Linked DNA regions of Lepisosteus oculatus. The protein of the gene in region 2 binds, or shares a complex with, the protein of the main gene of each other region. Links are inferred from orthologs where the notes say so. Each region holds a gene or a part of one and is shown on either strand. Other genes may lie near its edges. The genes, in order: cdh26.1 and ctnna1.

The links.
Region 1: ctnna1 (region 2) and cdh26.1 share a complex: the UniProt entries of both Homo sapiens proteins name them as parts of the cadherin:catenin adhesion complex. The link is inferred for Lepisosteus oculatus from reciprocal best matches to the Homo sapiens genes CTNNA1 and CDH26.

Annotation. Positions count from the first base shown.
Region 1 is NC_090711.1:8,683,081-8,699,542, forward strand, and holds the start of cdh26.1 (cadherin-like protein 26), read right to left. Parts: upstream 7,857-16,462; 5' UTR 7,670-7,856; coding exon 7,613-7,669; intron 1-7,612. UniProt on the Homo sapiens protein: Cadherins are calcium-dependent cell adhesion proteins. They preferentially interact with themselves in a homophilic manner in connecting cells; cadherins may thus contribute to the sorting of heterogeneous cell types.
Region 2 is NC_090706.1:36,608,263-36,623,942, forward strand, and holds the start of ctnna1 (catenin alpha-1), read left to right. Parts: upstream 1-8,010; 5' UTR 8,011-8,030; intron 8,031-8,100; exon of another isoform or gene 8,101-8,206; intron 8,207-8,505; exon of another isoform or gene 8,506-8,563; intron 8,564-14,847; 5' UTR 14,848-14,860; coding exon 14,861-14,965; intron 14,966-15,680. UniProt on the Homo sapiens protein: Associates with the cytoplasmic domain of a variety of cadherins. The association of catenins to cadherins produces a complex which is linked to the actin filament network, and which seems to be of primary importance for cadherins cell-adhesion properties.

The DNA.
Region 1 (16,462 bases), on a different chromosome or scaffold from region 2:
AACTGTTCTAATTAGATAACAGTAAATACATATAATAATAGTATAGCAGTTTTTATATATATTTTCCAAATTATGCAAAGATTAGGGACCTTGACTTTTACTTTAAGAAAATAAAAGAACAATGAACTAATTTACAGTGAAAATGCACAAAAATCATTCAATCATCAAATGGAATTTGACAACAACCTGTGGAAGACCAAAGAAATGTATGTATCTTACAGTGAGCAGTGGACACTATAACAGTATAATAGCGTCTATCATTAAAATTTCTCTTCTCTCGGTACTGCTACATGATTTCATACATTTGATAACATTCTGTCAAAGACATATGTCTTTATTGCATAATGTAAAGCAGATTAATCTCTAGAGACATAAAAGATCCAATACAAGAAATAACTGTGCAATAAAGGGTTAATAAATAATATACAGAGACATCACATGAGTCTTTCCCAATGGGAATGTCTGTTTTGGCACTGTTAATAATAATTTCATGAGGTTTTTCCTCAGAACCCAGTATTATTAATGTATTCAGCTGAGGTCCTTGCCAAGAGTGAATTTGCAATAACTAAACTATAGGGAAATTACTGCAGTAGCTACTTAGAAAATATAGTAAAAACCAGACAGGACAAGCAACATACAGTACTATATACAGTATATTCCTTCACTCTGATATAATATTTTTCATAACTAGCCCTTTTGACAAAATATTATTTCAGTTGAAAAACTACCATGGTCTAAGAGGAATTTCAACTGTCCTTCAGATACACCATCTCTGCAGGACCAGGCAAGGCCAGCCCACAGGAATGTAAACATTTATTAGGGGCTCTCAACCTTAGGTCTGTCAGTCCGCTAATTCCAGGCACTTTGTGCACTTGGGCACCTATCTAGCTTGCCTTACATGTAGATATCAGATCTGAATCAAGTGTGCATTCATAAGAGGAATAAATGTGGAACTCCCATAAAAATGACAAGTTCAAGATGTTTATGTTATTGTAGGTATTTAAAACTGTAGTTTTTATTTCACATCCTTGTCTTGCATCCATGCAGAGCATGTACTGAAAGTTCCCTGCCCTTAAGGGTAAAGGTGTGGTGCCCATTACTTAGACTAACCCGTAGGAGAGCTTTAGTGATAAAAGAAGCTAGATCCTAAGAGACAAGGGGTGTGCCTAACTGAATACAATTCCAAAACAATGTACAAAACTCTGTCATTATTATCAAGGAGATGGCATTGTATCTCAGGTTGCTTTGTGGGAACCTGTTCTTCCAGAGCTCAGAACTACTATCAATCATCCTAATTTTGTAGATCAAAGATTAAAAACATTGTCAATTACACATACTGTAAATCAAATTAAGAGCATTTTTATGGCTTGTTTTGAACGTTGACATTTTTTAAGATCATGCGTAAGTTGAAATTCAATGTAAAGGGTCTATTGACTAGTGAATAGTGATGTGACTATTGACTAGTGTGTAAAAAGAAGCTGAACAGCATCTAGTGATTGTGCCAATATGATAGGAATATTCAAAATATACAGAAGAAAATATGCTGCTAAAAATCGAAGAGGCTTTATTGATTAAGAACATTTTTAGACACTTCCTTCAAATAAGGTAACCTCCTTGAGTCCAAGAAGATTCGGTAAGTCAGATTTGTTGTGGGTAATGTCAGCCTTGAATGACTAATACAAAATGCTAATTATCTTTGTTCTGTAAGATATTTAAAGCAAGCTCATGCATGCTTCAAAGAAATCTGAAAGTTAATAAGTGTACATTCCTTACAGATGTAAACATTTAAAAAACAAGCTGTGATATGTACATAAGCCAAATTCATTTTTTCAATATCTTCCACTATTAACACATGTTACAATGAGTATACTCTATGAAGAACTGTGCTTTTTTAAAGAGTTTAATATACTAGTGGAAAAAAGAAACACAACATTTTCTGGAATGAGAATACTACAGTTGTAGCTTATGTACTGTACTTTCACAAAAAGTTGTCCATTTGTTATAAGCCTTCTGACCAGCAATACAGCTTGTGCAGTGAGGCATTGCTATTTCCCACACGAAAGCTCTTTAGGTGCACTTTTACCCAACAAGGTCCAGGTGGAACAATGCCGGTGTTGTAATCCTCTCATCCAGCAATTAAAAGTGTGTTACCAACTGTAAACTTCCTTATAGACAGTCATGTGAGCACTAACGAATACTGTGGGTTTCATTGTTGAGGCTGCTTGTATAGGGGCCAACATCAGAGAGCTGTTTTCGAGGGCTTCCTTGTGGATGGCTTGCTTCAACTCCTGCCATAATATTTCAGTGAGATTTAGGTCCAGACTTTGACTTGGCCAATCCAACATATGAGATTTGATCTCCAGCCATTCTGTTGTAAATGTTGTACTGTATGTTATGATCATTGTCTTGCTACTGTATGTGTCAGCACAGCTTCAACTGGTGAATGGATGGTCTGACATCCTCCTCCAACATTTGCTATTACAATGCTGAATTCATGATTCTGTAAATGGTAGCAAGCTGTCTGGATCCTGAGCTGGCAAGGCACCCTACAACCTTGATACATCTACAGTCATGCTTGTTGCTAGAAGCCAGTTTTTGTTTTTCACTATACCAAATTTCTCATTGTGGCCAAGAAGTTCAATTTTTGACTCACCTATCCAGGGAACATTCTTCCAGTATTATTATAGAGTCTGGGACAGGCAACAAAATTCTTTTTAGAGACCAATAGTTCCTTCTTGTCTATTCTCCCATGAAAACCATTCCTGTTTAGCTTATTCTTGATCACTGAGGTATGAACACTGACATAAGCCAGTGTGAGACAAGCCTGGAGATCCTTGGATATTACTCTGGGGTTCTATGTGATTTCCTGAATGACTTTCCGGTGGCTCTTTTAGAGATCTTGGTAGGATAACTGGATGATATCTAGATGTAGTAGATGGATGGATTCCAAAATGTTTAGAAATTGTTTTATAACCTTCTCCAGGCTGATAAGCATCTGCTACTCCTATTCTAAGGTCCTCTGAAATCCCTTTTGATCATGTCATGAAGTATAAACTCTGTCCATGTTTACTTGTTACTCAATTATTTAACCACCTGATTCTATTTACTACTCCTTTAATTATGCCAAGTAAACTAGGGATTCACTTATTATTTTTCCAACACTGTTAATTATTCATTTTTGTCTACTTCATGTTTCTAAACAATTTAACTAGTAAATACTGTATAAACCCTTTTGCTAATGGACAGGTTTTTTTTTACCAACCCAGGAACTCTTCTAGTAAGGTGCAAGGTACTATCAGTATGGGTGATCTCATCATAGCAAAGTTCAAAATTGTACTTCTCATTCAAGACATGTGTTTTTAAGGAAGGTGCCTATCCATCCATGTAAGCAATCCAGGAGTAGCTTAAGCCTCATGATATGCTTTACAGGTGGATGGATTTCTGATCCAAAATCTTTGATCAGTGAAGGTGAATGTGTCTGTGGAGAAACTGGCTAATTGAAACCATTTAAGCTCTTATGTATCTGACAATTCCTGATGAAAGCCCTATGCTTGCATGAAGGTACAGTATGCTCAAGATTTCTGTTGTATCATCAATTTCATGCAGAGAGGCCTGACCTCTTCTACTGCCACTGATACTATTTTAGAAGATCCTGAAAATACTCATTGAGTACAAACAGTACTCTTCATAGAATATTGCATAAATTGGACTAAAGTCTGCCAAAGCATCACTTATTAGCTACAACAATTGATACCTTTGCTTTTTCTCATGTGACATTTCCTTCCCAGAAGACAAAGTGTTCACTACAGATATGAAACTGCCTTACTGTCTATACCTGGATAGGCTTTCAGGTGTTGTGGCAATTTTCTAGCAGCAGCTGACCACATAAAATGTCAGGATAATGATGTATTAGATAACATTCACAACAAACAAATATTTAACTTATTGATAATTAATCGTTTTAAATTTGTACATTATTGTTCTTCCATATTTATTTCCAGTACTGTATATGTGTCCCCAAACTATTTTTGGCAACCCCGTGTATAGACAATCTGTCAAGATCTAAGTAGCTACAAACTCTTTTTGTTCTGATGGGAGCTCAGTAGTATCAGCAGCCAACTCTTGATTGACCTCATTTTAGTATTTTCACCCAAAACTCTCCCTCAGCTCCAGATGTTACTAAAAGCAAAGATACCTGAAGGATTCCAGCTGGGAATTAAAAGAGACAGCATTTAAACACAATGCTAAGCTATAACTGAAAAACACACCTACATGTAAATTGTTCAAGGCACTGATTATAATCAATTACAGGACCAAAAAGACTAACCGGTTTACAGGCTCAATTGCTAGGTGTGTTACCGTCTTCATCCAAATTCTGTAAACATAATTTGTTGCAGATAATTATATAGATCCATACAGTGGTTTATCAAACAAGTTTTTAATGTCAGATGATATATTTTCTTTTCCTTCTTACAGTATTTCGTTCTTGCCTCATATTTATTAATATGGAGACCTGGGTTTGATCCTGAGGCGAGAGTAGAACAGTGGCAAGAGCAGAAACCTCAAGACCCCGAATTTGCTACATTATTCTCTTCTCAACACGGCTTATTCATTAGAGAATAAGACCCTAAAAACTTCTATAGTAAAGTTCAGAAAATGGTAACTCGTTGGTAACTCAGATTCTGTGAATCTTTTGCCTTGAGGAGACAAAAGAGAAGAAACATTAAAGGAAAAAACAAGCAATTGCTCTCCTTAATGCCACTTTGTAGATTTTAGGAAGAACTTTGGAAATGTAACTGAATATATACAATGCCAATTGTTTTACTTTTCTTTATTTATGCTTTACAATTTAAGAAAGAATTATTTCCATTTTTAAAATATATGCTGACAAGTTTTGCAAAATTGCATGACAGAATAAGATATTGGTGAATTTATGTCACATGGCTATTAAAATAAACAGTGCTTGCACATTTTCTTTGGTAGATTAGTAACGAAATTAATCTAAAATTCCAACTAAATTCAACATCTTGGCTGGGAAACCTGTTTATACCAACAACAATATTTCACAATTCCCTAAAATGAGGGATGATTCTTCTTGCTCCTCATTGAACTCTTTCTAAGACTATAATATTCTTTTTGTGGTTTGGTGACTAAAACTGAATACAGTATTTTAAATGAAGCCCTACTAATCTGTTATAATCTTTGCTCAAAGCAGTCTCTTAAGCATTCTGTTTATTTTTTATTGCTTCCCCACATTGTGTTAAAGAGAAGATAAATCCACAAAAATAACTAAATCCTTTTCATATCTAGCTTTCTACAAATTCTTTAGCACGCATATGATATGTATACTAAATATTCCCTCTTCCTTTATGCAGTCCTTTGCATTTACCAATCTTAAATTCCATTAGCTACAATACATGTGTGCTCAATCCATGATTTTATCTAAAGGTTTTTGTAAGCTTTGAAGCTGCTTCTGTTTGCTACTCCCTCTGTTTTCATCTGCAAATGTAGCTAGATTGCTAACCAGAGTCTTGTAAATCATCAATATAAACCAATTAGACCAAAAATGCATCCCTGCAGCACAGAGATATTAAATGTCAGTTAAAAACATCTTTCTTTTCTAATTCCATGTTGTCTGATATCATTTTGTAAATATGCTTGTAGTTTAGATCCAAATATCATTAGACCATAATTTTACCAGTAACAACAGTAAGACTGATCTCTCCACAACAGTTTATTCTCAGTTTTGCAAAACTGTGGGTATACCCTCATCCATAGTGGCAGCTGAAATGTTCTAGTTAAAGTCAATGAATAACATTCTTCATTTTCTTAAATACAACCTGGAAAATGCCATCCATCAACAGAAATTTGGTGTAAGATGCCCTGGTCTCTGTAATACTTCAGTGTCAGTTATTATCACTAAACATCGTACAACACACCTTGTATGGCTTGGGACATATTTGTGATATACAGAGCATGTATGCTTTTGTTAGAATTGTTGAGTGAAGTATCAAATCAGCACATTTACAGTACTATTTATTCTTCCTCTTCTAGTATCAATCCTGTTTTATCTCGCTATCTACAGTATTTACTTCAGCTATTATTTAAATCCTTCATGTGGTAAAAATGCATTTCCACATATAAATACCAATTCTTTTTGTTAAACTATTTTAAGCCATCTGTAAAACACATTTATCAGATACTTGTTTATTCTAGCAAGAAGTCATTGTGTTCTAAACAATTAAAACGATTGTTAGAGATATATACTGACTATATTCTGTACCTTGTAAGGAATGCTTTGTTATTTAGAGTTTATCAAATGAAAGTATTTGTTTATTTTGACCAACTAAGGAACAAAGGAAGATAATGTTTTACTCAATTTTCTGCTGCTAAATTAGTTACATCATAATCATAATAGTTTACAGCTTTTTGAAATTTACAAGTCGCAAACAATATAAAATTCCACGGAAGTGCTACTTGAAATTTCACCCTTACAATTTAGTATAAAGATAGATAGATACTTTATTGATCCCGTGAGGGAAATTGCAGTGCAACAGCATCTTAACACAGACAACAGTGTAATGAATGATACAATGATAATAATACAATACATACAATACAATCAGTAGAAGAGTTACTCGCAGTCCAGAACACACAAAGAACAGAACAAAACCAGAACAGAACAGTACACAAAAAAGTCGCATTGCACAATATGACTATAAATAAATATAAATGTATTTCATATCTAGTTCATATCTAGTTTCATATCTATACTATATGTGACCTGCTTTTCCATAACCGGCCCTATCATTATTAATTTTAATATTATTGAACTTATATTTTCATAGAATTGTAGATACAAATGAATTACATTTTACCTGAATTTCATAAATTCACTCTAGGTTTTGGAGTACTGCCCAGTGTCTAGGTAAACTACTTCATGAGAATTTGCACAATTGGTGTAGCTGTAGGTCACATAAACAGGAGACATGTTTCTGCAACAGCTGAATTAATATTTTCGTAAATACATCAACAGCTGCTGAAACTGTACAACCAATAAGTATTCCAATGAAATAATCATAGAAACAATAAGTGAAAGGTTTTATATACAGTACTGAGACAACCTTTATCGCGAATGCGTAGAAATAAATGCAGTGCAGGATTCTTCCTTATACAATTATCATCGTTGTCGTCATAATTTATTTCATGCTATTTCACGACCTTACTAGTAAGTTTTATCGTTAGTCGAATTAGATCGACTGTGGGGGAAAACATTTTAAAATGTTTTTTTTTTTGTGCTTTCCATGTGCTACCTGTGGAGACATTAATAATTGATGTATTTTGCTAGGGTCCGACACTTGCTGGGTTATACAGCTTTAAAACATTTTAATAAAAGCTACTTACAGTAAAACAGCATTAACGCACTACAGTTATTTTTATTTTTTTTAACTTTGTGGAACATAACACTTCGAATCATTGCGTCTCTGTTCATCAGAATTAACATATTTCGCTGTCTTTTATGTTGGCAGTCGTAAAGTAACATCCATTAATTGTAAAAGTAACGAAAGTAAGCTACATTGTCGCATTATAATGGACACAATATTGTACTTACAGTTAAAAGGAGAAGAGTCGTGCATTTTGCCATCCAAAAGACAATAGATCCACGCATATTCTCTCAGTGGTAACTTGTACTAATACGTGGACGACGAAACAGAAAACCAAGACTGTAAGTTTGTGCTCCACTTAACCGGTGTGTGTGTGTGTGAATTACTGTAGTCCCCAACTGGAAGCAGCCTATCAAAGTCAAGAGTCACTTTTCCACGCCTTCCGTAGCTTTAATGTCTGTAACAGTCTGGGGAGCAATCAGACTTCTGTAAAATGTTCCCTACACACAGAATATTCATAGCCGGAAAAACCTGAAAGGTCTTTTTCTTGACCAATCCCTGTAGGTGACGCAGGACCACCGGTTTAGACAAACATGTTGAGAAATCGAGAGCGCATGAACTGCAAATTAATCATATTTAATTGTTTTGTTAGGGTTTTTTTTTTTTGGAAGGGGGAGATTTGTTGTTGGAATAATTAATGAGTTTGGGGAAGATCAAATATATTTAATATGGCACGTTAATTTAGGTGCAGGTAACCTGGAACTCAACTCATTCACATTTCTAGATAACTATGAGAAATGGTGGATAAAATGCCAGCTTTTATTTTTATTCCAAATTGAATTCCCAAACAGTGATCATTCACAAATTCGAATAAATTGGTCAATCGGGCAGCTATTTCCACTGTGTCTTAATGATGAGCCTCTTAAATATCATGTCTTGTTTTCTAAGTTGACTGTTCTGTAGTGGACGTAGCTCGTCTATTTTGGAAACAGTTTTGGAAAGTGTTCAATTCACGTTTGTTTTGGTAACATTTCTACCATTTTGTTTTAATATACTTTAATTTATTAATAATGATACTGTATATTAAGATTTAATTGTGTTTCTTTTTTATATAACTGGTTGTATTTCAATTTTGAATATAAAATATTCATTATATTTAATACTAGTAGAGAATAAAAACACATTTATAAAGATTAGATTTGGAGCACAATGTAATGTGATCCTAAAAAATACAATGAACTAGCTCAAGATTGTCACTCATCAAACACTAGAGATAAGCCATTCTCAGGATTGACAAACTGTGACAAACTGTTCTTCTTTCGTCTTCTTATTCAACACAATTTCTATTTTGCTTCTTAATTATTCATTGATTTTGTTCTGTGAAATCTGAATGAGCAGGAAGAACTGACAGGGGCTATGTGTTGCTCTTTAAGAGTAGTGGGATGGTTTTCATGAAGAGAGAAGAAAAAATATCTTCACTAATCCATCACAAGTTCCTCGGTAAAGGAAGTTTATCCTCTTAGCTGTTTGTAGTACAATTCTCAAGCATTTCCAACTTAGGTGAGGAAGAGCAGTAAAGTACAGTATACTCACTGACCAAACTATAAGGATACCCCTATTGAAATGACTACATTCTGTCCTTGGTGGTCAATGAACTGTACAGTATAAATTGACATAAGGAGCAAGAGACATGCATCTTTCACCCTCTCTGGGTAGAATCCACAATCCACAGATCTATTGAAAAAAAAAAACTGGTAGAACTGGTGGGACCTACAGTGGAATCCCCATCACCATTAGTGAAAATGATCGCCCAGGAAGAAAGGGGGCTTCAGAATATGTGAAAACATTGTGAAAAACAATCCGTGCTTTCACTGCTGGCAGTGAGTTTATTGTTATGTTGTTTTTTTTTCATTGGACATAATGGTTTTCTTTTAGTTTTGATTGTGTATGAAAGTAATTTACTTAATTTTACACCAGTTGGTGTCCATAAATATAGCACTTTAACAAAAACGGCAAAAAATTAAGAAGGAGTAAGAAGATTAAGAAGGAGTTTCCAACTCTACAGATGGAATGAAGTTTATCCAGCATTGATTTGACCTTTCTCAATGTATCTCCAGTATTTTAGAAGGGATTAACAAAGCTCCATGTCTCAGCCCACATTCATTTCTTTGCATTATAACTGTATAACTCTAACAATGACACATGCCATAGCTATTTGAAGCCCAGTTTTTTTCATGTATTATTATTTAAAATTATTATAATCCAGTTTCCCTCCAATATACAGTATTTTAAAATGTTATTGATCGAAATGAAAATGAAATGATTTGTATAAAGTAACAACAGCTATACTATACACAATCGTGACTTTCCAAGCACTGTATGACTTGTGTAAAGTACAGTTGTGTACAAATTTGAAAATGCCTCAAAATGTCTCTTTGAAAAATATTCTTCCTGGCATTTTAAATTTTATTTATATTTTCAGTATTGTTTAGAATTGGGAGAACAAATAAATAGACATGTCAGGCCTTTGTGCAATAAAAATCTCCAATCTAAACCAAAGAGGCCATTATTTCCCTCATTATTTAACCGAAAAACTTTGACTCGAAAAGCTTTTTATTGTTGTTGTCCATGTGAAGAGGGTTAATAAATCTGTAATTTGTAAAACTCATTAAATCTAACAGTCAATATAAATCTGAACAAATTGGGATTACAGAAGCAATGGGTCATTCTAGTTAAATTTGCATACAGTACATTTGTCTATATACATGTATGGACAGAAAACTGGGAGAACATTAAACAACCTTGGAGTACATTAAAACTTTAACCCACCCATCAATGGGAACTCATAAAAAATGATGCCTTGTGCCAGGTTTCCACTGGGTAGATGTACAAGGCTTCTGAGTGAAAAAAAAAATGTAATTAAGTGCCAGGATTGGAAATAGAATGTAACCGTTCTGACCATGGTGATCTGTTCTGTCATGTTTGCTTACACTTCATCATAAATCAGCAAACTAAAAGCAAAACTCTTAAGTGGAAATAAAATCATTAATACAACATTACACCACTGCAGAAATAGCAATAGTGAGTATTCATCAACAAACAAATTTTAAACCCATAACAATTATAATAAACCGTATCTTATATAGCACCTTCAAAGATGGCTTCTCATAGTATTTAAAATAAAAAAAACACACAAGGAGAGGATGCAGCAGAATTAACACAACTACAATAAGGGTCGTTGTAATGGAACTTATTTCTCAATGAACAGGAATATTCTTATTATTTAGCTTCAGTGATGAATACAGAACAAATAAATTGTGGATAGGATTCCAGAAAGTGTTCACTGATTAGCAAAGTGGTAAAATGATAAACTCAACTACAAGGATGACACAGTAGTGATACTACCACAGTACTAACTAGGGAACTGCACTAGGGAAAAGCCTAGTTTGCTACTACTTTACAGTCTACAGGAATGTACCACATGCTGCACCATACCCACTGTCAGACAGGAGAGATCACTCCCATGGATCATATCCTCTAATATTTAGATGTATAAATTTATATGGTAAACTTTTGTGATGGGACAGAAATAATTTCAAATTCTTTGATTGTATGTGTTTTGAATTAGCGTTTCCATACAAAACAAAAAAAATATATCTCTTGGAAAAAACAAGCTATTTAAAAAAATGTACACTCCCAATGAAAACAAGGACCATCAATGTAATTGTGCAAATCGCCTTAACATTTTATTTTCTGTGGAGTATCCTGCTTTCTCTGTATTCAGATACAATCTCTAAAATGGTAGACACAGACAGCTACCGGTACATTATTCTAATTATGTTTTTCTTTCAAACGTATATGCCGCCACAAGACCTAGGGCTCTTTGGTAATGCTAACCTTTTTATTTTTTTTATGCCATAATGAGTCATTATTTTCACTTTGATTTTCTAACAGACTGACCTTTTAATTTCATTTGTACATGTCATGTGCAAACTTGATTTGTTCGGAGATTTCTATTTGAATCGAATTGCTTTTCAAAAGCCGCTCACTTCCAAGAAATTCCAAAACCGTGGAGCTGTAGTTATCCATTTTTCCGTCTACTCGTGATCCACAGCTATCATCTTAAGGAAGGTGATTGCTATCTGGGGGGCTAGCCTAGAAGATGCTGGAGGCAAGGTCAGACAACACCTAGTTATCCTGGGAAATCCACGTCTCAGGGGGTTTGTGTGTCTGCAGGATTTTATTCTAACAATACGCATCTACTCCATATTGGCTTAATGGAGCGAATGTACAACTTCTCACAGCTCTTCAAGTGCTGGTGCTTGGAAAAGATCTATAATACCTACAGACACACCAGCCCTAAAGGAGCAGTATTGCCTGCTCCTGGACCGGAAACCAGTTCATCACAAGAAACATGTACACATCAGAACAATAAAAGACACCAGTTAACCGGTTATTGAACCATAGGAGGAAAGCAGAGCACTTGGCCGAAACTCGTAGAGTGGAAAGGATATGCAGATTCCAGAGAGAAGGCATCCCAGTCCAGAATTCCAGACCCAGGTGCTGTGAGACAGCCACACCGTCTGCACAGCATCAGAGCCACTTGATTCAGGTGTTAAAAATCCCTCGACTGTGAGAAAACCACGTATTAGAGTTTAATTCAGAGTTTTACAGCTTAATTGTTATTTTAGAAAAATGGCTCTTTCCAATTTGTAAGAATGCAATACTATATTACCTTCTAAGAAATATTTCTTGCATCTCAGTGTTGAGAGTTGCAAGGACCTGATCAATTTTAAACATGACTTGTACTGCATCACCAGAACATTTGCCAAGTAAAGAAATATTACATTTATACAGTAGTATAGCATGTATGTCTTTAGAAAATGAAACTATACAGGTTTGGGATACTGATTAAATGATTTTAATGTCATATTGATTAATGAATTGTTCATGACTGACATTGATACACTGAACTGACTGACTCTTGCACGTGTGCTGAATTGTCTCATTAGTGACAGAGTTCATTGGAAACAGGTAATGGAAACAGGCTTGCCAGGACAGAAAAAAATTAAACAAGACAGAACATAGAAAGGAACTAATGTGCCGTGCTAAACAAGAGTGTAATGCCTTTGTACCTCCAGGATGTTGTGAGCTGTTGTGACTAAACCTGCAGTGGAGCCAAGTCCTCTTCGGTAGTAAATCAAGGTTTTATATTGCAGGGCAATAAAGTAATCACTGTTTACAACAGACCAATGTTTACAATGGGCAGTGCTGGGATAGCCTAGAGTGGGACAATTGACCTGAAATATTTCTGTTATGAAAATCCATCTGTTGTGTGCTTCTGGTTTATCACTTAGCTTATTCTTCCTAAATTTACTTCGCTTTTTGTGTCTGTGCTTTTGCAATTTTTTGGTATATTCATTTGTGTGCTTCTAATTTTGACCATGATTCTCCCATCCCTACCCCAAGTATCTGGTACCTGAATGGCAGATAATGGAAGAAGAGCCCTGTGTTTACTGTATTCTTCTCTAGCCTCTTGGCTGTGCTTAAAGTAGTGCATATTTCCATTCATTCCTGACTAAGGATTTGGGTACAGTTCACATGTTACCTGTGTATGCAATCAACTGCCCTTCTCCCTAATTATACTGTAGAGAGAGCCCATGCAATGCATTTTTTATTAGACAAATAAAATGAATGATGTGCCTTGTGTTTTGTGGTTACCCTGTTTTACTCATCATTGATTTACAGTACTTCCTTGACTTATGAACTGCACTGAACCTGCATATCCTGCATGTAATACATTTGACATGAACAGGACTGATTAAAGTGAGGATAGGTTAAAGTGAGTTCCCAGCATGAACTATGGCATTGCTTGATTGAATCTCAAATACAAAAAAAACAAATCTACCTGAAGTGGTGTGATTTCTAATATATCTGGATCTCAGTCTTTTAATTCCTCTCTTAGACATTACAGAGTCCCTTTAAACCACACCTATAGACTCTGTTGCTTTCAGTGGTTCACAGTGGTATGTTATTGACCAGTTCTCAACCTAACTGTGGTTTTTGTCACATTCTTTGCCAGACTTTCCTGCTTAATTTGAACCTGTCTTTCCTGATTATCCATCACTGTGTCAGAAACTTAATGAAGAACCTTAATTAGAAAAAAACCTTGACATGCTGATCATGTCATGATGATCTCCAGCTCCCAGGGTATCTCTAACAACTTTTTTCTTGACATGTTCTTGGAATTATTCCAAAAGGCAAGCCCAGTTCAATTAATGTAATACGATTTGCATTCTCACATTTTCCTCTTTCACATTTTACGTCACTCGTCTATTTTCGTCTTGTCCTGTAACACCTTATTTATCCATATGTACACCATCTTTTTGGTTACGAATACACAATAAATACAAAACAACAAATGACAAAAACAAACTACTACCTGTCTGTCAATCCAGAGTTGTATCTAATTCAATGGTCCCTGGTCAAGTCAAAAGTCTCAGCTTTCAAGTCTCACATCAAATGCCTTTAGAATGTGGGCTGGAGATTGGGATAGATTTAATATGATGTGTAAGAACCACGTCCCTAAAATTGCCACACCAAAGTTTCAAGCAAAGATTAAACTGCACTTTAGACTCCCTTAATCTAAGAATTTATAATATAAACGTAACACCAATATCACTCACCTCCAGCCTACAGTTTTCCTAAATACGATGTCAGTACTGTCTATAATGTTAGCCAAAAAATAACTTCTAAGATGGGAAATACAGCTTTACAACAAACTAGATTCAATCCAGATAGAGTTAAAATAACTTGATCTCCTGTAGAATAACATGGTAGGAATTCCAGTCAATATTTGCTCCCTGCTTAAGGATTCAGATGTTACTTGGAATCAAGGCAGAAACAGAAACTTCTAGAAACAGATCTATGGGCTAGCCTCAGTGTGGCTTAAACGCTGGCACATTTTGGGAACCTCTGCATGTCCTCGTTTGAAAGCAACGAGTCTTGGCCCTTAATGGTATTATTTATAGGGAGCTTTACTATCACCCAGATTCATCTTGTCTGTTGGGGATAGGTAGATTGAGGTACGGAACGTCGAAATGGATATGTCAGATTTTTAGTGTACTGTGATACTTCCACTTGAGTGTTATTACTAGTTTCAATGGCTGATGCTTTTATTCCATTTGTGCTCAGTTATCCAGCTGGTTATTCTTCTTGAACAAATTGGGAAAGCACCTTTGCTCAAGGGTACAACGGTAGTTTCTCTTCAGGGATCTGAACCTGCCACCTTTTAGTTTCGTCCAAACCAACAGCTGCTGCTCAGTACTGTCCAAGAAGTGTGTGATTCTATTTCTGCGTTACTTTGAATGGCATCTCCTCGGAGGTACCACTCTTTTTACTGTAAGGAAGTGGAAAGGGATATTATATGCTGAGGTAAATTTAGCTTTTTGTATTTGGGTTGTTCTGTTTTGAAACATTGAAATATATAAAAAAATATTCACATAACAGGATGTTTGGCCAGTGATGGGGTTTTGCTGTCCTTCCTTTCTCCATTCTAAAAGTACTTCCACCCCCAACCAGCACCTGACCTATAGAAATTGAAAGTGCAAGAGCAACTGATATAAAAAAAGAAAATTTATATTGCCCATGTGATTGAACAAAGTCTGGTCCTTTGAAGATGGATGAATACTTCTGCAATATACAGTATCAAGAAATAATCTCAGCATAATAATGCTTCTAGATAAAGTATACAACATTTCCTCATTGTGGCTGGTGATCACACATTATTGAGTAGCTTTCACTTTTGTTTTACTTGTTTTTAATCAAAGCAAAAAACGCTCCTCAAAAGATTTGGAAAAAAAATGCTAAGACTTGATTATTATTATGTTGGATATTATGTCTTAAATCTTAAATATGGAGAATACCCACTGATCCATAGATCGCTCATGGTCATGGTCTTAGTTTTATCAGAAGGTTCTTATATTGTATATATGTATTCTTAGTAATTTTGCCATGGGGGTTTTTGTTGGTTGTTTCTGGGAAAAATACTGTAACACTCAATTGCCTGCATCTACTGCTATATTAATGTCATTATCATCATTATCTTCATGATCACAATTTTTATTATTATCATTATCATTGGTAATTCAGTATGTAATCAATCATCTTATTCGCAAGAACTTGTAAAGTTGAAGCTCGTAAAACTAAAGCCCTTCCAGATGAAACAGGTTGCAGAATGTGAGAAACCAAATGTTTCATAAGAATCAACTAATATCTAGTACTAAATCTCTGGCTAAAATGACTACATTTGTAAGTATTTTTTATTCTATTGGAAGGAATGAATTATGATTTCTTTGGCAAAAATATGAATGCTTTAATAGTAGCATTTTTATTTTGTAAAATAAAACCCTTTAATTAAAGCGATATAATCTGTACTTTCTGGAAAAACACTAATGTATGTAGTTAATCATCGTTTTTTTTTAATTGTGGAATATAATTGTATGTAATATACTTAATATACCTATCTAATATTACATGCATTAACTGTACTTTCTTCCTTTTGCCAAAGGTGTATTTACAGTTACAGTACACATACAGTACTTTGTCTTGCAACAAGTTACAGTCCCTTAATAAATTTTCTTTCTGGTATCAGTGATATCTATAGAACTCTTAAACAGAGAGATCTGGCCATTTCAAATGATCTCATAGGTATTATTGGCTAACCTGAGGGGAATGTTTTGTTGAGCACCTTATATAAAGTTTCTCTGTCCTAAGGGGCAAAGCTGGAAAAGAAAACACAATCTGGGGCACCTGGTAACAATGAAAAATATGTTCCTTGTCATCTTTTTTGACAATGGGCGCAAGTAGATTTTTATGTCCTTTCGGGTATTTTTAATTTTCATGATTTTATGTACAAGTATTGCTCCTTACACCAATCTTTGAGCCTCTGTGATAAAAAATATTGCACCCAATCTCTTCATCTTTCATCTCTGATCCTTCTCCTTAGGACACCTGTAAGTAAGAGTATGTTTCTTTCATCCGCAAAAGTATCATTGAAACTTTACTCCTCATACACC
Region 2 (15,680 bases):
CAATTAATGAACAGGAAGATCATAGCGTTGATATAGTAGTACAGTACCTCAGGAGAATTTCTGATACGTAGAAAATGACTGCCTAAGTGTTCTTATGACATTTCAATGTATACAACTTGAGTATATGTGCACTAAAGTCTTTTCCTATGCAAATACTTTCAATTCATAAATGTTCAAATAAATTAATCTTATACAGTATCAAGACTAATGCTGAATCTCTATTTGATTTGCTGAATCCTCTCTTGTAGAGGATTCCTGTGTAAAGCCCCAGTCCAAGGCATTTTCTGCTGGTCCCTATGACCCTGCATTGTAGAATGCTAAATACTCTAATTAGTTTTGAAAGCAAATGACATTTTTAAGACAGCCCGAATTTTAAGTTCAAAATCAAAGCAAAGGCAATATGTTGTTTTCTTAATTGCCCTTGTTTTTAACAGTGTTCTAACTATTGGAAAAGGTGGGAGTTTGCTCTTACTATAATATGCTGCACTAAAAACTACAGCATTATAAAACATTCTTGACAGCTTATTAAAAAGTGGTCATAAGGGGCATGATGGAAAAGACAGCCTGCTATCAAATACCAATGTACTGTTTACAGCTTTCAGCAAGGGTCTTGACTGGTCATTCATTCTTATCTAGTGAGGTAATATTTTCCAGTCGTATCTCAATTCCATGACCTGTCATCTAGTCTTGGACTGCTGTATTCTCTCACGGTAAAATTCTTAATATCAGATTTTTAAATCCTAATAAATTTAGAATTTTATACAAAATTTGTAAACAACAAATTAAATTCTACTTTGTTTATCTTTCAATTGACTGTTCTTTCCGGGACATCATATGCTTTAAATAGCGTATTACAGCAGTAGACCTACCTTACTTTATATGATTTGAAGAAGCAAATTGAACATCACTGTATCCTGCTGAGTGCATGAAAAATGTATATGTCACCACTTTCCTGGGCTGTATCTAAACATTTTTCTTTTAATTGTGCAACACATTTGTTGAGTGTGTGTTTAAGAATTTTAAGCAATTTAGTTGGTTTTTCACCATCTAAGTTAATTTTGTCAGGTTTGATAATAAAGTCATGTTTTTATACTACACCCAAAGGGTGTGAATAATGTACCTAGGCTGGGTTTTACTGACATACAATATGGAATATTAACTCTCTTTTTTATCTACTTTAAATGAAACTAACAAGTAGCACAACGAATGAGTCTGTAAAGTGATTTTCTATTATTTATTTGATTTTATTAAGGCTTAGCTATATATTTTAGAGTTCGGTTATTGACTTCAAAATCTTTTAGTAGGGGAAAACAATGAAAAAGTGATAAGATGCTCAGCACTTCACACCTTGTGTTTTTGTTGATTTGTTTTTTACTTGTAAGCAGCAAACTACACCAAAGCACATTCCTTTTTATATTTAAATAACATCCGCAGCCATTTACAAAACCCACTGTCATCTAATTTACTCTTGGAAGGTCTCTGAAAGATCTGGCTTTTTAAGCCTTAGAAAATTCAGAACAAAACAATTCAGCACCTGAGGGAAGCTTGTAACAAAACTTTTTTGTCATGGAAGAGATAATCTCTTCAAGTTTCTTCCTTGAAAAAGCATTAATAAAAAAAAAAGCCCTGTTATGCATGAAAAATACAAAACTTCAGTTTGAGCAGTGAACATTTCTCGATATGACCACTAATCTGGCTATAATTTGAACTGGAAAAATCACGAATGTTCACTGAGAATAAACATAGGTGAATAAAAAGTCATTTTTTTTAGAATGTTATTAATTGCAATGATAATTTAAATTTTAACTTACAGTAGTTGCATTTTTAGAACTTATTGAGTTTATCAGTACTGTATTTAGAGAAAAAATAAGAACTCACATATTTCAAAATGCTTAGTAGGATTATTTTCCATAAATATTAGATTTAGTATTCCCTAAAGAACTGTTTGAATTTATTGACTGCATGTTTAGAGTAGATAACCCTATGCATTCATTTAAAAAATAAACATGTAAACTGACATTTCAGTAGACTTGTTGCTAGTCAAATCCACATTTACTGAAATAGATTTTTTTAAATAAACGAGAAATGTGATCCAGAAGGAAGATTGACTTGGAAACGCATCCATCAGTTCTTTTCCTCTCCATGCCTGTGAATGACTGGACTTATCTCACGCAAACCTAAAGACAGACAAATTTTAAATAATTGTGACTGCTTAAAATGCATTGAGGCTTTGTGGAAAAAAGCATCACTTTAGGCTCGTCTTTTAGGTAAACAAAAGTTGTATCTTATACAGTACATGTTTTGCATTAATGAGGATTGCGAGAATAGCATTAATAATCATTATTCTTTCAAAGTAGCTAATGGGATCATTTTCATAGTTTTACAAGGGATGAGTGTCTCAATCTGTTCAGCACCAGATTAGTAATTAAATCATCATGATCTTACATATTTTGGTTTTTATTTTATCCTAATCGTCAAGAAAAATTCCATGGTAATTTCATTACAGTAAATAAAAACAGTACATTACAGTAAATAAAAACACATTCCAGTGCCTACAGAAGCCACACGTAACATTATACTCCTTTTCAAATGGCCAGTAGATCTCAAATGTACCATATGGATGGTGACCTTCTGTGACTGAAGCTCTCACTTCTCTGGCCTAGAAAAGCATGCAGTACTTAATCATTTCATCTAGTTTCCTTTAGATAGGCAGGATCTAAAGTTTCTAATTAAACTTCTGTCACTAATACCTCCTCGTCCAATTCAGGGGCTCAGGTGAGCCTGAATATATGCAGGACATACATACTATGGTACCAAACCCGTATACAGTAGATCCATTCCCCCCCCCGTGAAAACCTGACAGTGGACCCCTTCAGGACAGAATTGGAAGTGCAGCAGCTACATGGTACTGGAAGTCAGAAAGCAGAAACACAATTCTGTACTGTGCTCCCCAGTGGTGCTGGGGACCAGACTTCAATTCACACTGCCTTCTGCTCATAGGAACATAAGAAAGGTTACTAATTAGATAAAATAATTTGGCTCATCTAGTTTGAATGATTGCTATAGTAACATTAATTGGAAGGAAAGCCTTCGAGAGTAAACCTGATGCTTCAGTCAGTGCCATGTTAATGGACTCACAAAGATTCATCCTCCAGGTGACATCACAGAACTAAAAAAAATGTAAAGTCCAGACCACACCCATAGCTGCTCATCTGTGCAGAGCTCATCCTGGTTGCTGTAGTGATAAGCAAACTAGACAGTGCGTTACTGGTCTCCAATTCTGCAACTGGGTGGACAGGAACAACTGTGGTACCTGGCTTGTACCTCACTTAATGGTAAACAGCAATACCTGTCATAACCTGTTATAAGTTCGATAGTTTACCCATTTCACTATAAAACACCCATCATAGAAGGAATGAGATCAACAAGCCCCAATACTTCTATTTAATCTAGTAAGAGTAAGAGCCTGACCAAGGATTCTGTAAAATTTTGAATCTGCTGTGATTAGGATTCTATTAAAAATCTAAAGCCTGGTCTTGTAAAATCTAAATGAAGTCCTGTTATTGTTTAGTTAAATTAGAATTAGATTTTTAGTTCAGGAAGTTTATATATATCTTGTTATGAAACTGTTCAAATTTCTTTAATTAGCAAACAAAAAACAAAAAAAAAGATCATGGTTGCAATCTGACATAAATAATTTTATGTGGTCTGAATGGAATAAACTAGTTAACCGATGCTTGATCTACCACACATAAAATCTGAAAAGCTTAGTAGCCTGCATTCTCCATTTAACATCTTCAGCCTGTGACAATATTTTTAATAAAGAACAGATCAAAGAATAAGAGCGAGTAGGATTGCCTTCATAACTTGTAATGATCTTTATTTTTAAAAATACCTTTCATGACACAACATTACAAGGTATTTTACATTAACACAAAACAACCGTAAACCTCTAGCAGTTTATAAAAAGCATGCTTCTTAGCCTACATATCAGGGTTTTCAAGAAGATATGAAAACTGTTCAAACATCATGTGTTATTAAGCAAGAGACATAAGGAGGATTTCATTCACAAATACAGGTATTATGCATTTGAGACCACAGAAAATACTAAGCTACTAGACTACAGGAACATATGCATCCTGATTGCAGAAAAGTACTCCTGTGATTTTTTTCAAATATGATACTCCCTGATATAGACATCTGCACTATTAATCAGTTCACTAATTTTACAAAGCAATTGCACGCAGCTTTCATTATACAGATGTATGAAATACTGCACTGATGAGACTCGAATCTGCCTTTGATGACACAGTGAATTTCAAAGCGGCTTGTAAATGGCTTTCAGTATTTGTCAGCTGGGTGTGGTGCTTCCATTGAGACCATTTGAGATTCAGAAGCCCAGAGCCCATTAAACACAGACAGAACACCTTCAGACAAAACTAAAAGAATCCATTGGAGTGTGCTTTTATATAATATCGATTTTGTATTTCAGATGAAATTTAAAGCAATCCTAGTGGAATTTTCAACTCCATACTGTTCTATTCATTCAATTTACTTGGGTGGAATAATATTCCCTTTTCCATTATACAACCCAAAGCCCCTTTTAAAAACTAGGATACAACCTATTTACATTAAATAAATTCACATTTTACAGTGCTCATGCACTCTCATTACACACCCATGTAATTGTGAAGTTTGTCCTCATTAAACCCCTATCCTGAATGCATCGAATAGCTGTTTTTACAGGGGGTATCAAGTTTCAGTTCCTCATTAATCAGAATGAGATAGTGAGAAACAGTTCATTGTAACTTAGTTGACTCAAGCCATGCAGAGGGAACTGATTTTAAAGCAAAATGAAACTGAATGGTACTATAATCAGTTATTGTAAAATTATATACATTGCTTATAATTTTCTTTATAAGCAATGTAGACTTCTTAGCGTTTACATCATACAGTAGCTCTTTATTTAAAATAGGCCTTTTTTATACCCAGCAAATTATTATATATTTTACATTAAACAAATGCTGGATTGAGATAACAACGATGTTTTTCAAAATAAACCATTTTCATTCAAATAGGAGGTTATTGCTTCAGTCCGAATTGTCTAAATCCAGTGCAAAAGCAAAGTGATTGTTGTGTTTTACCTGTTCCCACATCATTATGTCTGAGCTATTAATACACTCTTTCATCCACAGATGTCGAAGTTAGATTTTGTCATGCCACTGTTTTGCCTTCAGTCCTTAATTGGTATTACGACCTATGGCTTCTGGCTTTTTAAATTTATTTATGTAAATTTATTTGTAGAAATGGAGCAGACAATTAAATGTGACAATAATTTCAACCTGAGAAAAAGATGCCCGTGCGTAATTAAATTGTTAAAGCTGTCAACCTTCTCCAGCACAGATAAACATGACATGAGAAATGACCATATTACATAGTAAAAGGAGCAAATGTTTGAAGAAGGAAAAAACACAGATACAGTGATTAATTTTTATGTAGAGCCATCTCCTTCTAACATATCATTTCTACCAAGCCTCTTATGTGTGTGCTCTATATCTATTTGTTTTTTATTTTTATGTTAGCTCCTAAAAATCCTTATACTGTCTATAACTGCCCTAACTCCATAAAATTCTAAATAAACACTTAGGTTCGGTAGAACACTTCAATAAATTTTTATATTAGAATTTGTCGGCTTTAATGACTGATTCTTTATATACTTGCTACTTGCTATACATGAACTGCCTGCAACATTTTAAAATCAGTTTTACAGCAGATAATACGCTTGGAATAGAACGGTTTTAGAATATGGTGGAATAAAATTAAGAAAAGGCAGAATAATATGTTGCCGACTTGAAGTTGGTATAAAAAAGACAACTACACTAGATAAATCAAGCAACCAAGGCAGCAAGATTGTAGATCTCTTTCAAAGATACAGCCACAACCTCACTTATACTCTATTTTGTCTAGTTAGACTGTACTATTCACTTGTTTCACTAATTTACTACAAAAATAAGTACTGTAGTACAATAAGCTGAGAAAGTCTTCCAGCTTCTGAACGTCTCAAAAGCTTTCTGGTTGTGTACTATAAGCATCTGTGACAAAGACACGGTTTTTCTCATGCAAAAAGGTCATGACTTGTATAAACATGCTTTCGGTGCCGAAACAGACATGAAATTATTCTTTCATAAGAATGGAGGCCTGTGAAGCAAAATAATGCATAAAATCAAAACCAACTGAGTTCCGTCAGTATCACAGGGAACCAACACTGTACTGTAAATGAACAATCTTGACAGGTTTCAAAATAGAGGTTTCTTGAAAGAGATAATTGGTAATTTCCTTTGGACCAGACACCTTCAAAAGCTACTGCAGGCTGTAAGAAAGGAGGACTTGTGTAGTTTCAACCCTCTTACTGACGTGTGTATAAAGTATTTGGGCTATTTAAAGAATAATGCCTCCCCGCAATGGTAAAAAAAGAAACATAAACTGATTGGATAAAGAAACAGCTCATAATTGGTGATCCCTTTAGATACAAAAAAGCTTCAATTAAACATAGTTCTCGCCATGAAAATGCAAGAACTATGAACACGGAACAAAGATGTCATTTGTCCTCTTTAAGCCTCCTTTGATGTAAGACAGGAAAGAAAAGAACTTGAATCATTTATGCCCTATTGCCAGATCTACAGTGCTTCTCAGGTACTCTCCTTCTGTTCTCATAAACGCACTCTCTGTAAGAGGCTAGAGGCTCTGTGTGATGTAACTCTGTCTTCCCACTGCAGTGACTCATGAACACCTGCCTTATCATACAGTGTTGCTTCATGGGAAGACAGTTACCCATATGCTTGATTCCTCCTCCTCCAGTTTCCCCTGATTGTTGAGTTCCAACTTTGATTTATTAACTGTTTCCTCCCGTTAAGTGTTTTATTTTAGTTTCTCAAAAAAATAAAATCCAACCTTTGTGAATCAGATTGTTATTAGCAGAACGAACTACTGCAAAGTTTTTATTTCTCTCAGATGTTCTTAGTCTTAGCGTCTTCATTCACTTAAGCATTGAGAGTCTCTCCTCCCGTGCCTCAGGTCATCAGACTACTGAGAATATCCAGCAGTTTGCCGAAATAGATATCTTGTTTTCTGCCTTAGGGAAACTGCATTTCAGTAGTTACAGAGATAGCTTTTATTTGCTGACATAAGAATGCCTGAGGATCTAGTACTGATAAAAAGTGCAGTGTAATTGTAAAGCTCAGGAATTCATCTAATATATTTACATGCAACGTTTTGGGTGGAGGGTGATTGTGTATGGAGGGAGTGGTGAAGCAGATTGAGTTCTCTCAGAGCTCATTTATCTTATCGGTGTGGCAGGGAGAAACGTATTTGCAAAATAAGGAATAGCATTGAGTATTAAACTGTTATTCAGCTCATTTTGGCTTCAGGATGTAATTATGCACACGTTTTATAAAACATGAGAAATGTATCTCATACGAGCACTTTTAATCCTTGTAGGTATTTAAATATGAATTTTGGCGGTTTCTTTCTAAAGGCTCTTAGCACTCAGTAATACAATCACAAATCATTTCAATGAAGATAATCAAAGCACATAAATGACGTAACATCACACACAATTCAGACGTTTAGCCGAAACTGACCCTAAACTGCTTAGTCCTCCTACACGATTAAGTTTTAAGTGCATTAAAAGCGTCGTGTTCAACAAGCCTATGTAAGTCTCGGTGGTTTATTGTCGTCTACGGGAATCACGAGTTGTGAACCTCCGACATCACAATAAAAAACCGAGAAGGCCTCGGGATTTAAACCACACACGCCTGACAGTCGAGTGCACGGCTGTTTGGAAGCACGGAAGGTAAAAAAAAACCAAACAAAAAAAAAAAGAAACAGAACATGCTCACTCCCGCAGACAAACTGCACCCAGCGTTCAAAAACAGTAAAACAAACAAAACACGTCTTGCAAACTCCAGGCAGCGAGCCGCGACTTGCAGACACCTGGGACGGAGAGAAGACGTCATCGCGGGAGCCCGCAGGTAAGCGCGGAGCTCGGCCACTCCCCCGGCACACCTGACCGCCTGGGTGTGGGCGCCTCGCTGTCGGTCACCGAGTCACTGCCTGTGTGTTCGCCATTCCGGGAAGGAGTTAGCACCCCCCCCCGCCCCCTACGTGGAAAAGGCCAAAAAAAAAACCTTGGATAAAGTTCGAGAAGGTAGGGCTTGTTTTTTTTCTTTACGTTTTATCCCGAATATAAGAAACGACGTAGGCGAAGGTGCGAGTTAGCTGACTTTTCGGAAGTTTATTTTCTTCTGGGGAGGGTGATTCAGGGATTCAGCAGCAGCAGCAGCGTAGGAGTGGCGTGTAACAGCCGCGCTGATCCCATTTCCTCTCGGAGTTGGGAAGTTTGGTGGAGCGGAGGAGCACGGGCGAACGGGAGGGATAAAACGACGGAGTAAAAAAAAAAAAAACTTTTCACGAAAACTTCAAAACTGAACTTTTTTTGTTCATTAGGGTTTCGTTCCAGGGGGGAAAAAAAAATCGCAACATCGGAAGCGGCGTGTGTTTCAAGGTACGCATGAATCGTGTTTTGAACAATTGTAGCTAGAAAAGAGCAACACAATCGTTTGTTTTGAAAACAACGCGATAGGCAGGGTTCATCCATTTTGACTGTTTTAACTTGGGAGGGTTCACCGTTTTATTCGAGCTTTCCTCTAAGCGTTGTGTGCTTAAAAACCTTTCCCATTAAGCACCGTTGTATCTTTTCCGACAGTAATTCGAAATGTGAGCATAAGAAGTCTATTTTAGAAGCACGATTGACTTAATTGTTTATGGGGAAGAATGGCTTCTCCATTTCATTTCAGGGCTGCCCTGCCTAAAAGTAATGAAGTTTCAGAAGGGAAACTAAATTAGTGTTTTTTTAAAAGTCACGTTTTACGTGTGTTCAGATCACGTCCTGTAAGTTTTAGTATTCATTTTAAGTTTAGGGGAATGCTGGTAGTTCTTACTTTTTGACCCCCAAAAAAACATGCTAAGCACAGACTTAACCACAGCATGAGTTTTAAAAAAGTTACTCAACAGGGTTGAAACACGCTCTGCCTCCGACTTGTTTCTTTTTTTTATCCTGCGGCTTTTTAAAAATAAAAGCGAAGCAATGAATTTGTACAAATTTCCCATTTTTTTTAAAGGACCAGCGTGTGAATCGCATGAACTTTCGTGCGTCTTTTTAAAGTAGGTCCGCCCTACCATCAGACTATGTAATGATGTTCCCTTAGCTTATGTGTTATTTTTTTTTAAAGTTTTGAGCTGGTTACTGTACGAACGTCGGTTCTGTTTCGAGCCTGCACCCCAGGGCGATTGAAAGTTAAATTAACATGGCCCAGGATACTCCCATGCTGGTCGGGTCCGTGTTCCGCCCTTCATAATCTGGGAATGATCCACCCTTTTTACTGATTTCATCAGGAATGTGCCAAGCCGCTACCACCTGTGTTGTTGTCTTTTTTTGTACTTCTGTTGTCTCTTGAATGTTGAGACGAACCAAACCAGATACGCCACATCTCCCAGAAAATAAAATATACGTATATTTTCGTGGTGGGGGTAGGGTTGGGCTGGGCACTCATTAGGCAAGAACTTCCGGTTGTCCCAAGCGCGTAGTAATGCTGGGTTTCCCGTTTCCCGATATACCGTGTCCTTTAATTTCAGTATCGTCCTCCGTTGCCCAGTGTTTGCTCTGTGGGTGCTGCGATATCAGGCCAGCCTCGGTGGTCAGGGGTGGTTTTTAAGTCGGACCCTCTACTGATGGTGAATTTGAGTGTCCCCGGTGTAATCACTTCTAGCAAGGCTGCAAACGTAGTTACGGTTTTAAAAATAAAAGTAACTCGGAACAAAATACTGACAGTCCTCCGTGCTGCTTCTGTATCAAATTTAGCGATTGGAAATAAGACTGAAAAAGTTTTACATACTTCCTAGGCAAGTAGGCGTTAGGGTATTTAACAATCTTTACGAGACTTTCAGTAAATAAAGGAGTGATGGACTGTATACCGACTCCACCTGTCTAGTATTTTTCCTGTGTGTAATGCGAAGTCTGGCTTTATTACAATAGAAACATCTAACATTTGGTTACATTTTCGACTAAATGTCTTTTAATTAGTTCAATTTGCAATCATAGCTCCTGTTTATTAACACTTGTCACTGCTAATCGGGTTTTGAAAGCGTGGGATTTATCTGGATAAAACGTGGCTATTGTGAATGCTCATCAATTCTTAGAAAGTTATTTATATTAAAGTTGCTGCCCTCTCGCTTGTTTCTAAATTGAATTCTGAACAATAACTTGAAAAACATTTATAAAATAATAAAGACTATTGTAAGACATGGCTAAAAACGTACACCTGACTAAGCTTTTGTCAAGTTCAAAGGAAATTTCTGATAAATTGGAGTACTTCTCCACAATAGAGTTTGCAGACTTAAGTCTTCAAATCAAATGTCTGGGGAAGGTTGGAGGCTGTTACAAATGTTGCAGAAAAGTGTGTCCTGGTTCATCCCGTTACAATAATAAACCATTTTTAAGACAACAGAAACTTATGGAAATACCTGGGCCAATATTCAAACTTGACCCAAACCTAGCTACCTAAAATGAATTTCAGATGGCTCTGACCCGATGTGGTATTTTGTAAGAAGGGTCTGGTTTGCCCATAACTGTCCACAACCGATTAGTAGGTTTGAAATTGAAAGGGGGTGGGAGGGTCCAATTTGTGATTTAAGGCAAGCCTTGGTTTTTTACACTGCTCCTAAATTGACCTGTTTCACTGCACTGTGTAGCCTACCTGTATTTAAGATGTGGAAGCTCTGTATCAGGAATATCTTTGCTTGACTTTTGTGTAGCGGGTTAATTTGCTCCCTGTGTGTGTTCAAAAACGGAATAAATGAAGTTCCATTTTTATGTTGTAATCCGTTTAGAAATTAAGAGGTGGGAATGTTCAATTTCTGAATTTATCCTAAGTAATAAATCAGGGTGGCATTTTTTTGTTGGGTATTTTAGCTTTTTCCCCTTCAACTAAGACTGTAAAAAAAAGTTTTTTCTATGTATATTCACTGTCCAGCATAGTAAAAAAGTTTTAAAGTCTGTAAGTGGTCTTACTAATTTAACTTTTCCATGTCTAAATATATTTTCTGTCCCCTACAGTTATCCAAAATGTAAGCCCATCAGAGCTCCTGAGGCTTATGTTATACACAGACGTGTAACATATTTGCACAGCAGATGATATGGTAATTGGTATCTGTTTATTAGTTGGTGCTGGTAAAGTGAGTGTGGAATCTGTTGTGGAGTTTTTTTTTGTATTGGACCTGCTGCTGTTGGGCAAAGTGCTTCTCCTGAGCATGTGTCCTGCCCATCGGACCACCCCTGTCAATCAGCTTGGCTTCCTAACAGCTGCCACCCCCTGGGGGGCTTGTTGTCCTTGATATCCAATGCATGACGGTTAATCAATGAAGATGCGGCTGTCGCATCTACAGCAAATCGAAAATGAGCATGAAGATTATTCTGCTGTACCTAATAACTGTCATTCTCTTTTAGGGATGTGAAACATTTAGGCTATTTGGGAAGTAAACTCGTTAAATTGATTTTTTTTTGAGGGCAAGCCTTTCCTGTTTTTTTATATGGTCCCCAAATTTATGAATTGTGGAACTGTGTTAAGGAAATTGAGTTTTTCCGGAACCCTGAATTGCTGGGAAAAATGGGTACTTTGACCTTGTGAAGCTTTTTTAAAGAAAGTTTGTATTGTTTTATTGATCAAGTACGATATCGAACTGCTCTTGCTCTTCCTTCTTCGGTCTGCTTCAGTAGGTAGGTGATTTGTTTTTGTAGGTAGTTATAAATAATATGCTTTTCAGAGTTTTGTCTCAGATGTCCAAGGGAAGCTATGGTTATTCTGTGTTTCTGATTTTTGCCGGTGACATCTGATATTACTCTACAACAAGTTGAACAATGAATGTAGAGTCATTTAAGGTGTTGGAACAGTAAAAACTAGTGTACCCTGTGGCACAGATTCTGCCAGCATCTGAGAAAGTCAGTCAGCTCCTTCTGCAGGTGGAAAAGTCTGTCTAGGGCGACGTTCCAAATGCTTGATGAGGTTACGATGTGGTGACTGAGAATGTCATGGCATGGATATGGATTTGTGCTCTGCTTGTGGGGGGACTTGCCACCGTGAAAGACGCCCTTCCCAGCATAAAAGAGACGCTGCATCATGGGATTAAAATGTTTGCTCGTTTCTGAATGATAATTGCAGTTTATCACGGACTTTGCCCTCTAAGGAATGACCAAAACCAATGCCAGGAAAATGCCCACAGCTTTATGGACCTGAACCTTTCAGTGTTGTAAACGGGCACTCAGGCCTGTAGGTTTGTCTGTCCTGAACACAGTGAAGGATGATTCACCTGAGCACGTCACATTTATTCACTGATCAGTGGTCCATTGCCAGCGCTCCCTGCACCACTGGAATCGAAAACATGCATTTCCAAGAGTGGTTAGTAATATTTGAGCTGCAACCTGACTAAAGTATCCCACTCTGTGCAGTTTACAGTGAGCATTTTTGATCAGCCTGGCACGCAAGCAGCCAGTTTAAAGTTTGCAGTTGATCATTTGTGTTTTGCACTTCTGTTTTGGATATGATGATCCTGGAGTATATGCTTCTGCTAACTGTTGCCCTTTTCTTTCTTTTCTGGAAATTCCACGCTGACCTCACTTTATGAAATTGCAGATTCACGAAATTGCAGATTTGAGCTGGCTTGTCCAGCTAAACAAGCCCCAACAATTGCCCCCTTTTCAAAATGACCGAGTGTGTTCACTTGCAGCCATGCTACTAGCCATAATTATCGGCACCCCGTCCTGTTCAATGTTATATAAGAGTGACCTTAAACATGCTGAGAGGTTATTTGCTTAATTAATTAAAGAACCACATCAATCTTTTTGTCCATGATCTGTATTCTATTGTACGTTGTACCAAAAATAAATTTTAGTCTGTAATTTGTTTTCAATAAGCCTGTAAGATTTGAAGTGCTCAGTAAATGAAACTTGTACCGGACATTAGGCCCAACATTACTGGAAGCTTTGGTACAGCTAATGATTTATTTGTAAAACTGGATTAAAAACATGCTTTAAGTTCATGGGAAGAACTTGTGTTGTGTGGGTTTTAATTAAAATGGTTTAGTCTTGATACTATGAAATGTAAGGCTTTTGCTTCTCCTTAACACACCCTAGGTTTAGGTTGAGTCTGTTTATCTAAAAGATAATTGAGCATTGAGTTTTTTTTGTAAACTGCTTCATGTGTACAAAACCTCTGCTGGTATTTAATTGATATATTGTAGCCAAGTCAGATGGACCCAGGGTAGTTACCAAGAATGGGCTCCTTACGTAAGATCACAGGATAATTCTTTTAAATTAATTTTTAATTTCTTAATTGTTTTTGGAAATGTACATTTAGACATGTTGTTTTTTCAGATTTGTCTGGAAGAAAGTTACATTTTTCACTATCATTGCAAATGGTTTCTGCCACAGTGCAGGCTGCATAAACCTGTTTTTAAATTATGGACTTTTTTCCCTTCATCCAGTTCTGTATAGCTACAGGCAGATCTGTGACTGATTAGTACTAATAGAAGACAGCTGGTGCTCCTCATTTTGTTGGAAGTCTCTTACCACAGTAGTGGTTCTTAACTGTTTGAAAACAGTTGTGTACTTCCAAGCAGAGCCACTTGTGATTCCTCGGCAAAAAAGACAAATTTCTTCACGCTAAAAGTAATTTGTTTTCTGGATGCAATGCCTGTCTTAATCCTCCCATGTCTATGAAAATAGCTGTTGCAAACATCCTTTGTTTAGCTAAAGGATATATTGAGTTTTGCACCCCCACTATTTCTGACAGTTGTGGGTCAGTGGAAAGTGCTTTACTCCCTGTGACTTTCTTCTCATACCTCTGTAAAAGCTGAAGTTTTCAGATGTAATGTGGGTTTAGTCTTGTTGGCCAGCATGACCTGTTAGGAGCAGTCCAGAAGTGCAGTTAAGAAATCATGCACTTAGGTTCTGCAGTTTACATGTGAGATTCCCCACTCATCAAAATTTTAATTAGGTGTGAGAGAAATGTAGATTAGGTAAATTTGCTCCACATCTGAATATTGGTGAAATTCGTTTCTGAAGTTGCTGTTGCAGGTTTCTCCCCCGGTTTGTAGATTGCTTTTCAGATAAGCTAATCAATTTTAATTGTGTAGGAAAGTGTCACGACTTGCTGCTGGAAGCATATCTTCTGATCGGCTTAAATTGGTCTTTATAATATGGAAAACTATCCATGTCTGCCAGAGGATTTCTGCAGTATTTCACGCTGCAAGATTTCTCGCAAACTTCAGCATCGGCTTTGAGTCTTCTTATCTTGTTTAAAGTGCAAAAAAGAAGTGTTAATTTTTTTTAGCTTTTATACATTATTTCTTCGAATCCCCAGCTGGGAAGATGGGGCTAAGCAGCCTTAGGCATATCTTGCTTAATGCTTTAAAGTGGTTTAAGTCTAAATGGTAATTCAAGAAGTGGCACACAGAAGATGAACTGCTTTTATGGCAGCACAATGCAATAGTTTGGATTCTATTTTTATTTTAGATGGTAACTTTTGAAGTTACAGATGAGAGAACCATTCATTGTTTTTGTTGCTTTTATGCTGGTAAACTTTCATCCAGGTGTTTTTTATGGTCTGACCACTGCTGCTTTTCCAACATTGTTATATTGTTAATGCTTTATTAACCTTAAACTGAAGGTTTTTTAATTTTATTAAGAGATACCATCCAGTAGATGAATAACCAACCTGCCTGCTTCCTTTTCAGATACTGGATTAACATGACGAGCATTAACACAGCGAACATTAACTTCAAATGGGACCCAAAGAGCCTGGAGATCAGGACTTTGGCTGTGGAGAGGCTGCTGGAGCCCTTGGTCACCCAAGTAAGAATTTTACTTAAGGCTCAAATATGCACTGTATAATTCCAGTTCATGTTGCATTTTAATTATTCATCTATCAACCAGTTTTAATTTTGCTTCTTACTGCATAATTGTGGTTGAACTAATTCCATGAACTTGGCTTTATTAAAACCGAAAATGACAGTTTAGTGGTATGCATTTGGGGATGTTGCCATGACTACTGTCCTTTAATTCATATAATATTACTATTCAAGATATATATTCTTTCATAGGAACACAGTAAGAAATGGTATACTGTCTCTGAATTGATAATCTCTGAACCGGTTTTCTCCTGAAAACTGGGGTTGGGAGAAGTTTCTCATTCTCAAGAGTACTAGATAAATTCCAGAGCTTTGTAAATAGTCCCAAAAAACAGAGGAAATGCTGTAGATTTCAGCCACTGGTAATGTGGTGCATGAGGAAAATGTTAAAGACTGTCAAGTCCTGTTTGCAGCAGTTTTCTTTCTGTTTAGAGATGCAGTCTTAGGACACTGCTGGAAATTTTGCCTGAGTGCTACTTTTTCACGATGTGCAGTTTCTGTAATATCATGGGTTACGTGGAGCTCTAATTGCAACCAGTCTTGCAGGCTCTTTCACGTCCTAGTCTTTACAGAGGAGCTTGTGTGAGTTTGACCCCAAGTATCAGTTTGTTCTCTCTCTAGTACTTTGTAGGGATAAGGAATAAGGCATACAAAACTTG